Linked DNA regions of Macaca mulatta. The protein of the gene in region 3 interacts with the protein of the main gene of each other region in a pairwise test. Links are inferred from orthologs where the notes say so. Each region holds a gene or a part of one and is shown on either strand. Other genes may lie near its edges.

What was found.
Region 1: the proteins of PIN4 (region 3) and CEP72 interact in binary tests that used the Homo sapiens proteins (3 or more experiments, as listed by UniProt). The two-hybrid records come from large-scale screens. The link is inferred for Macaca mulatta from reciprocal best matches to the Homo sapiens genes PIN4 and CEP72.
Region 2: the proteins of PIN4 (region 3) and ZBTB9 interact in binary tests that used the Homo sapiens proteins (3 or more experiments, as listed by UniProt). The two-hybrid records come from large-scale screens. The link is inferred for Macaca mulatta from reciprocal best matches to the Homo sapiens genes PIN4 and ZBTB9.

What each region holds. Positions count from the first base shown.
Region 1 is NC_133411.1:1,701,650-1,706,311, forward strand, and holds the start of CEP72 (centrosomal protein of 72 kDa), read left to right. Parts: upstream 1-1,505; 5' UTR 1,506-1,552; coding exon 1,553-1,634; intron 1,635-4,662. UniProt on the Homo sapiens protein: Involved in the recruitment of key centrosomal proteins to the centrosome.
Region 2 is NC_133409.1:148,823,155-148,827,777, forward strand, and holds ZBTB9 (zinc finger and BTB domain-containing protein 9), read right to left. Parts: upstream 3,158-4,623; 5' UTR 2,958-3,157; exon of another isoform or gene 2,890-2,957; intron 2,708-2,889; 5' UTR 2,637-2,707; coding exon 1,212-2,636; 3' UTR 180-1,211; downstream 1-179. UniProt on the Homo sapiens protein: May be involved in transcriptional regulation.
Region 3 is NC_133426.1:78,727,336-78,732,100, reverse strand, and holds the start of PIN4 (peptidyl-prolyl cis-trans isomerase NIMA-interacting 4), read right to left. Parts: upstream 3,223-4,765; 5' UTR 3,194-3,222; coding exon 3,151-3,193; intron 1-3,150.

The DNA of each region.
Region 1 (4,662 bases), on a different chromosome or scaffold from region 3:
ATCCACACACACCCCCTACACACTCCCCTACACCATCCACACACACCCCCCTACACACTCCCCTACACCATCCACACACACTCCCTGCACACAATCCCTACACACTCCCCTACACACTCCCTGCAAACACCCCCTACACACTCCCCTACACCATCCACACACACCCCCTACACACTCCCCTACACCATCCACACACACTGCCTGCACACAACCCCTACACACTCCCCTACACACTCCCTGCACACACCCCCTACACACTCCCCTACACCATCCACACACACCCCCTACACACTCCCCTACACCATCCACACACTCCCTGCACACATTCTGAGTACACTTACTGCACACCCCGTGTACAACCTCTGCACACACCCCCTACACACTCCCCTACACCATCCACACACACTCCCTGCACACACCCCCTTACACACTCCCCTACACCATCTGCACACAACCCAGTGTACAGCCCCTGCACACACCCTCTATACACACTCTGTGCACACACACCCGTGTACACCCTCTACACATATCCCTACACACTTCCTGTGTACACCCTCTGTGTATACCCTCATCTACTACCACCATACGTACCCCCACTACCCTGCCTTGTGTATGACTCCCCAGGCTGTGAAATACCAGGGACGTTGCCAATGAGCTGGTCTAATCTGAGGTGAGGGTTTCTGGGTGCCCCCTAGACACCAGGAGAAAGGCAGGGAGGGGACACCCCTAGGGCTTTGGACTCACTCCATGAGGCGCTGGGTCACAGTGGTACAGTGACACAGTAGATGTCCTGAGCGGGATTAAAGTCTTCCCAATGAACAGGCTGAACTCTGTCTTCCTTGAAAGCTCTGTAGAAGGACCTCACAGGGATAAACACAGGGAGACCCTCCAGGGCGCGGTCAGCCATGAGCCACAACGCTGGGCCGGTGACATCTCTGGAGGTTCTGGGGTGCAGAAAGACCGGCTGTGGGGAGTGACTGGCTGGGGAGCAGCTCAGCTCCCGCCCACCTCTGCGAGGCCCGGGGCTGGACGGGAGGTGCAGCAGACAAGGCCCCGGGCGGGTACTGGGGGGTCTGGAGGGGTCCCTGCGTGGGGGTCGGGTGGCGGGGAGTCTAAGAGAGTCGGGGATCCCCGGGGCGCGGGGTTCAGGGTGGGAGCGGAGTGTGAATGGGGAAGGGTCCCCATGCGCACCAGCAGCCGCGATTCCACCGCGCCTACTCGGGCTTTCCCCGGGAGGACACGGCGTGTGTCAAGGACCCGGGCCTAGAAGGCGGCAGCGCCCAGGGAAGCCTAGACGCGGCGCTATCTGGGGCGGGGGCTGGGGTGGCGGAGCCAAGTGCCTGGGAGAACCGCCATTCAGGAGCCCCTCCCGGCCAGGCTCTTGGTTCCGCCCACGCAGGTCCCGCCCCCTAGCCCGGCCCCTCTCCCCGCCCCGCCGCGCAGGCCCCGCCCCGTCCCGCCAGACTCTTGGTTCTGCCCACGCAGGTCCCGCCCCTCTCTTAGCCTTGCCCCGCCCGCCGCGCAGGCGCCGTCCGAGGGCTTCGTTTGAAACATGGCGCGGGCTGGTCCGCGGCTGGTGCTGAGCGAGGAGGCGGTCCGGGCGAAGAGCGGACTAGGGCCTCACCGCGACCTGGGTGCGCCAGCGGGCGGGGGTGCAAGCGTGAGGGTGGCGGGGGGTGGGTACCGAGCTTCCCGGGGCGGCCGCGCCTGGTTGCCTGGGCGGCAGACCGTGGGCAGGTGGGGCTCCTCTGCGCAGGCGCCGCGGGCGTCCGGAACGGTCTCGGGCGGGAGGGCGGGGCGCGCGCGCCCAGGTGAGGACCCCGCCCCTCGTGCCCAGGTGCGGCCCCTGCCCGCGTTCTGGTCCCGGAGTCGCGGCTCCTGCTTGTCTATCGGGTCATTGTGGTACCGTGACTGGCGGTTATATCCGCTGAGGAGAGAGAGCCAGCCTTGCTCTCCAGGAGCGCAGCCCGCCCTCCCGCTGGGGACCCCTCTCCCGGGTTCTCCTGGGCCCATTATGCTGATTGTTGGGCTTGGCCTTCTTGAGGATGTTGGTGGCCGGTTGCCTTCTTTTTGGCCTGTTTTTGTCTGGTTTTGGCGTCAGGGGGAAGCCGAGCTCATAAACTGTTGAGAAGTGTTGTGTTCTCATATTTAGAAGAGGTTCTGTAGAGTTTGTGCTCATTGTTTGAATGTTTTGTGGAATTTTCCAGTGAAACCATATGGACATGTCAATTTCTGGTTTTGAAGCTTTTAAATGACCAATTCTGTATCTCTGGTTGTCAGAGAACCGTTCGTATTATTAGTTCACCTTGAGTCTTGGCTGTGTGGGGTTTTGCGGAGTTGGCTTATTTGAGCTAACTTGTGGAGTGTGTGTGCAGAGTTGTTCCTGGGGTTCTGTTCTTAGCCTGTGAATGTCTCTGTGTGGTCTGCAGGTGTAACTGGACCAACAGGTTCAGTCAGGTGCTGTGGGGCCACAGGCCAATACACTGAGACAGCAGGGTTTGCAGCAGAGAAAGAGTTTAATGCTGGCAGGAGCCCAGCAGGGAGGTGGAAGGAGGCCTCAATCCATCTCCCCAAGGAGATCTGAGCTGGGTTTTTTGGTTTTTTTTGAGACGGAGTCTCACTCTGTCGTCCAGGCTGGAGTGCAGTTGCATAATCTCAGCTCATTGCAACCTCCACCTCCCAGGTTCAAGTGATTCTCCTGCCTCAGCCTCCTGAGTAGCTGGGATTACAAGCGCACGCCACCAAGCCCGGCTAATTTTTTGTATATTTAGTAGAGACAGTGTTTCACCATGTTGGCCAGGCTGGTCTTGAGCTCCTGATCTCAGGTGATCCACCTGCCTTGGCTTCCCAAAGTGCTGGGATTACAGGCATGAGCCACCACGCCCAGCCTGAGCTGGGGTCTTGAAAGGAACAGGATTGTTAGGAGCTGGAAAATTGATGTTGTCAGTTGGTCGAGGTAAGGGCCATGGAATTATCAGGGTGTGGAAACTGCATTCTTTGGTGAATCCGCTTGTGGGGTCCTTTAGACCAGATGGCATCAGTCCCCAGGTCCTCAAAGAATATCTCAAATGGAAAACTTAATGTTTTATAATGTCCAATAATCTGTAGAGTAGTTCTCTGTAGAGTGGTTAAGGGGAACAGTAACATCGTGACAAAGTCCATGTGATCCTGAGGCAGTGATTTCTGATTTTTAAAATTTCGTTCTTTCTGCTTGCTTTGCATTTATTTTATACTTTTTCTAGATTCTTGAGGCAAAAATGTAGATGATTGGTTTGAGACTCTTATTTTCTATTATAAATAGTGCCACAAGTTTCTCTCTAAGCACTACTTTATCTGTATCCACAAATTTTGTTATGTTATATTTTAATTTTCATGCAGTTCAGCATATTTTAAGAATTTCCCTCGATACTTCCTGTTTGACATGTGGTTTTATTTATTTATTTATTTTTATACGGAGTCTTGCTCTGTCACCCAGTCTGGAGTGCAGTGGCACAATCTTGGCTCACTGACAGCTTTTTTTTTTTTATGTTTATGCCATTCTTCTGCCTCAGCCTCCTGAGTAGCTGAGACTACAGGCGCTCCCTACCACGCCTGGCTAATTTTTTTTATTTTTTATTTTTTAGTAGAGACGGGGTTTCACTGTGTTAGCCAGGATGGTCTCAATCTCCTGACCTTGTGATCTGCCCGCCTCTGCCTCCCAAAGTGCTGGGATTACGGATGTGAGCCACCGTGCCTGGCCTGACCTGTGGATTTTTAAGGAGTATGTTTTTAAGGTTCCATGTGTTTGGAGATTTTCCTGTTATTTTTCTGTGTGATTACATTATGGCTAGAGCATAATCTGTATGATTTTAATTCTTTTAAATTTGTCAGGGTTTGTTTTATGATCCAGCATCTGGTCTATATTGTTGAATGTTCCTGCCTTAGCCTCCCAAGTAGCTGGGACTACAGGTGCCCACCACCATGCCCAGCTAATTTTTTGTATTTTTTTAGTAGAGATGGGGTTTCACCGTGTTAGCCAGGATGGTCTCGATCTCCTGACCTTGTGATCCGCCTGCCTCTGCCTCCCGAAGTGCTGGAATTACAGGCGTGAGCCACTGTGCCTGGCCTTCTTTACAGTTTTACGGTTTTCATCTGTCATCTCCATTTTGCTATTAAACTGCTCTTGTGATCTGTATGTTTCTCTGTTCTGTTATTTTTTCTTCATTCCATGATGCTCTAGGTTTCTTTCTTTTGTCTTTCCTTTATATTTGAAAAAATGTCTTCAGCGATTGTCTTAGGGCCGGTCTGCTTGTGACAGGTTCTCTTAGTTTTTCTTTAGAGTTTTTTTTTTTTTCTTGAATGTGTGTGTATTCTGTTGTTGAGTGGACTGTTATGTAAATACATAAATATCAATTAGATCCTGTTTGTTGATGGTATTGTTCAATTCTTCTGTATCCTTGCTGATTTTCTGTCTAGTGACTCTATTAATGACTGAGAGAGGGGTCTTGAACCCTTAACTGTACTTGTGGATTTGTCTATTTCTTTTTTCACTTTATATGTTTTGAAGCCCTGTTATTTGTTGAATTGAATATCTAGGATTTTTATATCTTCTTAGTGGACTGACCCTTTTAGTATATGTAGTCTTCCACTTTTTTTTTTTTTTTTTTTTTGAGACAGAGTTTT
Region 2 (4,623 bases), on a different chromosome or scaffold from region 3:
AGGTTATCAGGTAACAGGTTAGGGCCTAAGTCCAGAAGAGTGTTCTTGGCACCAGTGTGAAACCATCCCATTCCTTCCCCATCAACATAACCTAGCCACCTAAGGAACACATCCAAGGCTCTGCAGCTCCGTTCTCACTCTCTCCCCCACACAAATTACTCAATCCAGTCCACTATCAGTTTAGGTTTCAGGGCACAGTTTATTCAAAAATTTTAAGTAACTGCAAGTCCCACACCCAATTCCAATATCTATCCCCTCCGTATCTCCACAGAGGGGCTGTCTATCATATGTGGGTGGGATGGGAAAGGAAGAGGTATGGTCCTATTATGCAAGTTACTCGCCAGCCTTCAGCTTGTGCTGTCCCAAACCTGAGTCCCTCTGACCAAGGCAACTTGTTCAGAGAGCAGTGGTGCCACCCTGAGAGCACTTTAGGACAGTGCCATCTCCTGAGATCACTAGTCACATTCCAGTCATTGTGACCAATATATGAGTTACCAGTGGTGGTCAAAGGTAGACCAGAGGCACAGGCTGTTGAGGGAATACCCTCTATTAAAGAAGGTTCTAAGAATGAAACATGGAATGCTCAACTTGTTAAAGTGCTCAACTACAACATTAAAAAAGTGTTGGAAAGGTGTCTACTGGTGAGAAAGCAAGGTACAATCTGAGGGGCTCCTGGAAAGATACAATTTTAAAAGTACACAAAAGGAATTCTGCTTAAATCATTCCAGCAATGAGAGAGAAAAAAGTTTAGAGCTTAGCCTCTGAATTACTCAAGCTCTAAATCAAATGTATCCGTAGGTGGAGACCAACTCCTTTAATTCCTCATGGAGACGGAATAAAACATTTACCACTGTCTTTTGCTCTAATTCTTCTCTCACTAAATAATTGAAAATCTGGTTTCCTTAATGGACATCACCACTACAAAAATGTCCACCATGGGCAAGTGATCAACTTAAGTATGAATGGCCTATAAACTGCTTTCCTGCAGGGTTGGCTAGCCAAAACCTGGAGTGGGATGAGAAATTTGAGTTTCCACATCTGCCAGGCTGAGAGGCCCATATCTTAAAACAAGAGGTCCATAATGTATCAATGTATCTATTCTCTTGGCATGATTACAAGATCCATGACTGGTGTGCCATGGTAGTGAGGGAAAAGTACCCATCAGCAGCAGTGGTTATTTCATTCTAGAAGCTAGTATATAGCCTCAGCAGTCACTTGTAAGTCCAGTGGGCAGTGGCCCAGCCCTGGCCCTTGCACAGGTCCCGGTGGCGGAGAAAACAGGCATGGACTCGGAAACGACGGCCACAGTGGGGACAGGCATGCAGGGCTCCAGCATGGGTCTTCATGTGCTCTGTCAGATGGTGCTTCAGCTTGAAGCGCTTGTTGCAGACGCCACAGCCAAAAGGCCGAAGGCTGAAGGTCAGCATGATGTGCCGGTCACGCTTTGGCTTCACTGCAAACCGCTTCCCACACAGGCAACCAAAGCGTTTTCCATCTGCAGGGGGTGTTCCCCCTAGCTTCACAGGCCCATGAACAGCCTGGCCTGCTCCCCCAGGTCCTCCTCCCCCTGACAGGATTTCATTCCCATGAAGATCCACTGGTTTCCAGGATGGACCCCCTCCCCCAGATGTTGGCCCTGCCCCTGAAGGCAACAAGAACCCTAGCTCCCCATTCCCTTCAGTGTCCCCTCCAGAAAACACTTTGGTTTCCTCCTTTGCTCCTCCAGGCTGAGTTCCACTTCCTGATATCTCCTCCTTAGGCTCGAAGGGTTCCTGCTTAATGTAGAAGATTTTAGGGGGCAGCGCAGTAGGAGGGGCAGGAAGCTCAACTGGTGCACTCTCACCCTCTGGAAGCTTTCGGGGAGTAGCAGTCACGGGCAGTGGGTGGGGTCCATGAGGACGGGGAAAAACCCCTGATACTCTCTGGGGCTGAGGAGTCTGAGAGAGTGTGGCTGACCCCTGGTCCTCATCATCATCTTCTTCCTCCTCCTCCTCTTCTTCTTCTACCTGAATTTGCAGCACTTCTCCCAGTTCACTTCCCTCCCCTCCCACAGGGCTCTCAGTGGAAGCAGGGCTTTCAGTGGAAGCAGAGGACTGTACTGGAGTCTGGAAAGGCGAAGAGCGAATGCACCAGCCTCCTGTAGAGGATGTAGTGGAAAGAAGGGCATGGTAGGAGTTTGCTCCACGGGCTGAAATTCCACCACCTGAAGTTTCTAATTCTCTAAGAATCTCTGAGCACTGATCTACTACTTGCCACATTTGAAGGCCACTGGCCACAAGGAGATGAGCAGGAAGAGCATCCAGTGGTAGGCGGAGACGCCCTGAATAAATGAGCTGGAGCAGCCCTTCGAAGGCATCGGCTTCAATGACACTCGGCAGAGTGAGACGAGGTGCATCCCCCAGAAGCAGCTTGTCATGGAAGTAAGGAGAGGCAGCAGCCAACACTGCTTTATGAGCCCTAAGTTCCCGGCCCTGCACCAGGAGGGACACATCACAGAACTTTCCCTCTAGCCTGTGGCGGTTCAGAGATTCCAGTAGCGATGAGCTATGCTGCGGAAACTCGATCTGGATTGTCCGTGGGGCTGGGTTGCAGGTCGGGGAGGCGGGTACGGGCGGCAAAGGCGTTGGGGTTTCCATGGCCTCCTCGAAGGTGAGAAGAATTGGGAAGACGAGAGGGGCCTGGGGGTAGACTCTACGCGGGATGAAGGCTGCAAAGGAAAAAGATGGAGGTCACAGAAGCCCTGGATAAAGGGAGCCACATCTCTTCAAACAACTCCCTCCCCCCACGAGCAATAACTGGAAACTTTTAAGTCAGTGGCGGTTTCTGCAAATCAGTCCAGCACACCAAGAAAGAAAAACAAACAAACCACCACCACCACCAAACACCAACCGGGGTTGTAACTTCCAGCCCCCGTGGAAGATGCGAAGGAGGTCCTTCAGCCACGAGCCTGTCTTCACCTGCCCAGAACAGCTCCTGCCCCGCCGCTCCGTTCCGCCTCACAGTGCCCACAGAGGTCTGCTCCCGGGAAACCGCGGTCACCCGGACACCGGGAGTCCCGGCCCGGCTGTCCTTCCCGCCGACACGCCCCCGCCGTTACACACGCGGCGCTGCCCTCGCAGCTACAGTGCCGCTACAGCTCCGTCCCAGGCCGGAAGCCGCCGCCTCCCCGCCGGACGCCGTCGCAAAGTGCGGCGGGCGGAGCTAGAGGCGTAGCCAATCGAGGAAGGGCAGCCTACAAGCCTCGTGTTGACTGGCTACCGCAGACGAGGAGGGCGGTGCTAGTAGGAGGGCGCTGGCTCAGGGTGCCAGCGTATCGGGCGTCTGGGGTAGCTGCCGAAGTCCTCGCCGCTACAGAGGACCGAGAGCCAGGTCCCAGGAGAGAACAGACCGGTCGGAGGGGGCGGGCCGTCAGCCGCCCCGGAAAGCTGCGTTTCCCGGTGATTAAGTGTAGCACCCGCCCCCGGTAGGTCCTGAGAGGGGCAAGATTAGTTGGGCACTTACCATGTGGGCCTGGCACTTGCCCACATCACCTTGTGTCCTCCCACCGGCCCTGCGAGGATGGGGGTTGCCGTCCTCAGTTTCCAGGCGGGGGAAACGGGCTGGAAGCGTCACTCAGTTAATAGTAGTGGACCTGGGACTGGATCTCAGATTTGCTAAGGAACTAGGCAGGTTCTTTCCTCTGTTCTGCACAGGAGCATTTTAACCAGCAATTAAAGAAACCTTACTTCTAGGTGATTTTTAAAAGAGATAAATGTGGATATATACATGAATTCTTTTATCAGATAACGCCGCTGTTCCTGGCCTCAGACTAAGTGACACAGTGGTGAGGGGAGGGAGAGACTGGAGAAGTTTGGCCAGTGCAAAACTCCTGCTCTAAAATATAAAAACTCTCATTGGGAGGGGAGAGTGACATTTTATGAGGAGAGTGTGGCATCAGGTGGGGATGTACGGTTTTCCTCTCAGGCTGTCAGCTTCCTTTCAGAAAGCAGATCTTACCACCGTACAGGTCTGTCTGGAGAGCCCTGCCTAAGAAAGTCGGCACAGCGATAAAAGAACAATCTCCGTTTATTAAACATGTTTTTTTCTGTTTCACCACACACTCCAGAAAAAAAGGAAATGGGGCTGGGAGTGGAGAAAAGGGGACAGCGAGGGGGGGATAGATAAGGCTGGGAGTGGGGTGGGGAGGGAGAACGAGAAAACAAAATAAAACAGGTAGGAAGAGCATCTCCCTACCCTTAAGGTAGTGGGTGGGGAGGGAAGCAGAGGGGCGGGGGGGGAGGGGGCCAGGAAGCTCTGTACAGAAGGGTTGCCCCCAGCCCACACACACACACCCCGGATATGTACAGTACAAACCCCAGATAATTACAACAGCCAAAGAAGAGAGAAGGAAGGTTGGGGAGGGTCCAGGGCTAGGGCCTGAGGTGGGGAAAGGGCACAGGGATAAAATTTCACATATTTACAACTTTTATATAAGTATAAATTTGGCCCCGGCTGGGTGTATGTGTGGGGGGATGGGACTGAAGGGAAACTGTCCATACAAAAGAAAGAGTAGAGTCTAGGAGAGTCTCAATACCAAACGCAAAAGGATGAAGGGAGCAAGGCTGGGTAGGGGACAGCAGTCAG
Region 3 (4,765 bases):
TGAAGCCAAATCTGAGGTGGGAGTGCACTCAGATGAGCCTGCCTGAGGGAGGTAGCTGAGGGTCAGGTCATTGAGGCCTTTTGGCCCCATTAAGGAGCTTGGGATTTATCTTAGACGTAATAGGGAGCCATTGAAAAGTTTTAAGCAGGAGTGTCCATCTTGCTTGTCTTAGTATCTCCAAGCCTACCACAATGCCTGGCACACAAAAGGTATTTTAATAAATGTTTGATTAAACTGAAATCCCCAAATACTGACTACCAAAACCCTAAGAAAATGCTACTGCCAAAGGAGTGTTATTAAATCAAACTCCTAACTGGGTTTGCTGTAGATCCGCTCTTGAATGATGATGCCTTCCAGTTATCCCATCCTCTTCCCCACTGGATGCTGTCATCTTCTGACTGCCACCTCACTGCCTTTGATTTCCTAAGGACTCTGGCAACAGCTTTGGGCTTCCTCTCCACCCTCACTCCTGCCATTACCTTGAGTGACCTCACCATCTATCTTGAGGAATCTCACAGTTCTAGGTCTCTTTCCCGAATGTCATGCTCTCTACTCCAAGCTACCGGCCCCGGGGGCACACAATGCAACTGTGCCACTCAGAACTAGTTCAGTCTCTGGCTATAACCTCCTGTCCTTCCAGCTTTCTCATGTCTCATTCCCACAGTACTGGCTCTCTGACTTCACAGAACCTCCCCCTCGACCCCAGTCCCTTTGTCCTGCTACATTCACCTAGACCACCAGACCTCTTTTCACCTTCCCACTCTGGACCCCATGCTCGTTCATCTGAACTGCATTCCCACTGGCCCTTGTAATTCCCTTGTGTTGCTATCGTCCTATCATAACTGCCTAACAAAACCTCAACCACGGCTTAAGGCTGCACCTAGCTCTTTTCAATCCTATATTGTGCCAGTTGCATGGTACCACGTAAATCAGACTGTGAATATTATGTAGTCTACAAATTCATGGCCTTTGATCTCAGTCAGGCTCCTAGCCCTGAGGGCACTTCTTTTACTTTTGTTTCATTCCATCTCCCATTACAATATTCCAGACCTTTATCACTCTCCTCAAGATGCCTACTGACTCCCTGCCCCTCCATCTCCTTTCCTATGACCTCAAGCATAAGGTGTCCCTGCTCCCCTTAGGTCCTGGATTCCATTTTCTCCTAAATCTCACTCCTCTGTACCTTTACCTCTTTTACTTTACTGGATCCTTCAGCTTCACTCCCAAGTTTTCCCCATTCCAAAGAAGCAAAGAAAATAAAACTTTCTCTTAATCCTCTGTCCTCCTCTATCTACCATCCCATTTCCATGCTTTTCAATTAAAACTTTTCAAGAAGTCCAAATTACCACTTCCCAGTCAGTTCTATAGTCACTGCAATCTGGCTTTTGTTTCACTGAAATCACTTTTACCCAAGGCCACCTCTAATTTCCAAATCTGCCGTGCTTGATAGACTATACCCTCTCTCTTTAAAACATTCTGGTCTCTCCTGCCTCTGGCCACCATTCTGCACTCCCTCTATCTGTCTGCCTTTCTCTGCCTGTCCTAGATCACATCCTCTGCTCTCTGCTCTTTTAATTCTATAAACTCACCATGGATAACTGCATACACTCTAATGGGCGCAACTACCATCTATAAGTTAATGACTCCTAAAACTTACATGTACAGTCTAGACCTCTCCCTCAAACTTCAGACTCAAATATTCAACCACTTCCTGACTACATCTCCACTGAGATGTCCCACAGACACCTCAAAGCCAATCTATCTGAAAGTGAATTCATCAGTCTCATCCCTGCTCCTCATGTATCCTTGATGTTAGCCTGCAGGACCTGCAACAGGTTAGAAATCCAATCCAGAAAACAGAATGATCGTTGATCCTCCCTCACCACCCCTCCCCAACCCAATAAATCACTAAGTCTTGACTATTTCACATCCTAATGTTTACAGAATCTTTTCTCTTTTCTCAGTTCCCACAGCCACTGCCTTAGGTCAGTCCACCATCATCTCTCACCAAGACTACCACAACAATCTCCTTACAGGTCTTTCTGATCCTTAACAGTCCTTTTTAGCACCACATATAGCACTCTCCATGATCTGGTCTCTGTTTCTGTTTTCATTCTCACCACTTGCCATTCTGCCTTGAGTTTTTGCTCCAGCAACACTACACTGCTCACATCATGCTGTTTCCCACCTCAGTGCTTTTGCTGCTGGACCCCAAGTTAGGAATGCTTTAACCTACCCTCAATGCTCATCTTGACCTCTGCCTAATTCGTCTCCAGGAAGCCCTGTTCCCCAGCTAAATGAAGCACTTCTCTCAATTTCTATTATATCCCATACACATCCCTCAACACTACATTTAGTACAGTGCTTTATGATCACTAAGCCTTTATCTTCGGGAGCTCCTTAAGGCCAAAATCTTTTTTTTTTTTTTTTTTTTTTGAGACAGAGGCTCGCACTGTCGCCCAGGCTGGAGTGCAGTGGCACGATCTCGGTTCAATTGCAACCTCTGCCTCCTGGGTTTAAGCGATTCTCCTGCCTCAGCCTCCCGAGTAGCTGGGATTACAGGCGTGCACCACCATGCCTGGCGAATTTTTGTATTTTTAGTAGAGACGGGGTTTCGCCATGTTGGCCAGGTTGGTCTCGAACTTCTGACCTCGTGATCCACTCTCCCTCGGCCTCCCAAAGTGCTGGGATTATAGGCGTGAGCCACCGCACCCAGCCCTCTGTCTTATTTTTATATCCTCAGCGCTTAGCACTGTGCCTGGCACATTTCTGTTCAATGGATGAATGATTCCTTCCCCGATGGAGGGCATGTCATTCTGTAAGCACTAAAGTGAACTTTAAGGACCATAATCAATGTGTACTTCTTATTACTGGCTTTTGATAAGACCCAATTTTAGAGCTCTAATAACCCCTCAAAATAGCAGCCCTAAAGTCATCGCCTCCGAGGAACTATCCCCACCAGATTCCATTACCCATCAGGGCGCTCCCTGAACCGTAGCCCAATGTATTCCTACAGATGGAATCGATGGGGCCACTGTGGGGCCACTGGCTACCTGCTGCATTCGTCCCGGACTCCGGAGATGGACTGTCTGTTCCCTCCCTTCGCTCCTCACCCGCCCCCATTCTCCTGGATCGCTCTGGCCGCTCTACCTTTCCCCGCTTTTCCAGAACCACTTTTTCCTTTGGGCGGCATCTTGGAAGCTTGTTGTTGAACTCTGAACTACTCCAGTTGCCGTTCAAGCCCCCTTACACCGCCATGGGCATGTCCTAAACAAATGCCTGAAAGCCGCATCTCAATTGACCGTTCTTATTGAGGCTCCGGAAGCAGGCACAGCTCGGGGCAGACCCTGTCCTTTGGCTCTTGGACCAATGGGGCTGAAGATGTCTGACCAATAAGACGCTTCGGGCCGAAACAAAGGCGGAGGGGCGGAGACAAAGGCCGGATTAGGGCGGGAAGCCCCGCCTCTGCGCTTTTTGTGACTTCTTTCACGCACCGTAATTTGCACCAGATCCCCCACTCCCCACGCTCTACCCCCGAAACCTCCAAGCTTTTTTCACGCTTGCGCAGTAGGAGCCGCGGGGGCCTCTGCAGTCCCTCGGCGCCAGCTCTGGCCAATCCCGCGGGGCCGCCAGACGAAGGGAAGCAGGAGGAACAGTGGTGGCGGCTAACTTCTGCTGTCTCCTCCTACACATAGGGTTGTCCGCCCTGGCAGTTTTTCGTTTGTTAATTTTATTCTGCAGTTGTAGCTAATTGGGTTCAAAAGGTAGTTTTTTAAAAAGCCTGTTACCCTTTTGCCTCTTGCAGAGCTCAGTCATGGAGAAACATTGGAAGCAGTCTTAAGTGCTCCTCAGTCGGGTACTGCTTAAATAATGTTTTAGCCACACAAAAATATATTATACAACATTCAAAATAACGGTTTTGAACAGATAGGGGAAATGTTTTTTTTTTTTTTTTTTTTTTGAGAGGAGTCTCGCTTTGTTGCCCAGGCTGGAGTGCAGTGGCCGGATCTCGGCTCACTGCAAGCTCCGCCTCCCGGGTTTACGCCATTCTCCTGCCTCAGCCTCCCGAGTAGCTGGGACTATAGGCGCCCACCACCTCGCCCGGCTAGTTTTTTTGTATTTTTTAGTAGAGACGGGGTTTCACCGTGTTAGCCAGGATGGTCTCGATCTCCTGACCTCGTGATCCACCCATCTCGGCCTTCCAAAGTGCTGGGATTACAGGCTTGAGCCACCGCGCCCGGCCTGGGGAAATGTTTTTAAGACCAAGATAAAGAATATGATTCCTTGTAAAAGAAGTATATGTAATGCACTGTATGGTATATGAATATAAAGGAGAGGAAAGCTATACAGCAAGATGTGGCCAGTGGTGCTACATACAGGTCATCGTGTTTATTTCTGTGTATTTTCCAAAATTTCCATAATGGTGCAGCATAATGTAGTAAAAGCATGGATTCTGGAGCCAGATTGACCAGTTTCAAATCCCTGCTCCAAATCTGTCTACTAGCTCCATGACCTTGAGGAAGTTACTTCACCTCTCTTTGGCTCAGTTTCATCATCTGTAAAATGTAGTCGATGATAATAGTACCTACTATTATCCTATCAGGTGTTAAGAGAATTAAACAAGTTCATATCTGTAAAGCACATAAAATGATGGCTTTCTCATATTAATAGTGTTTGCCTAAGATAAATGATTTTTGAATGTGTGCCCACACACTTTTTCTCCCCTTACAATCCCTCCCACCATCAATAATTTGTATATGATATG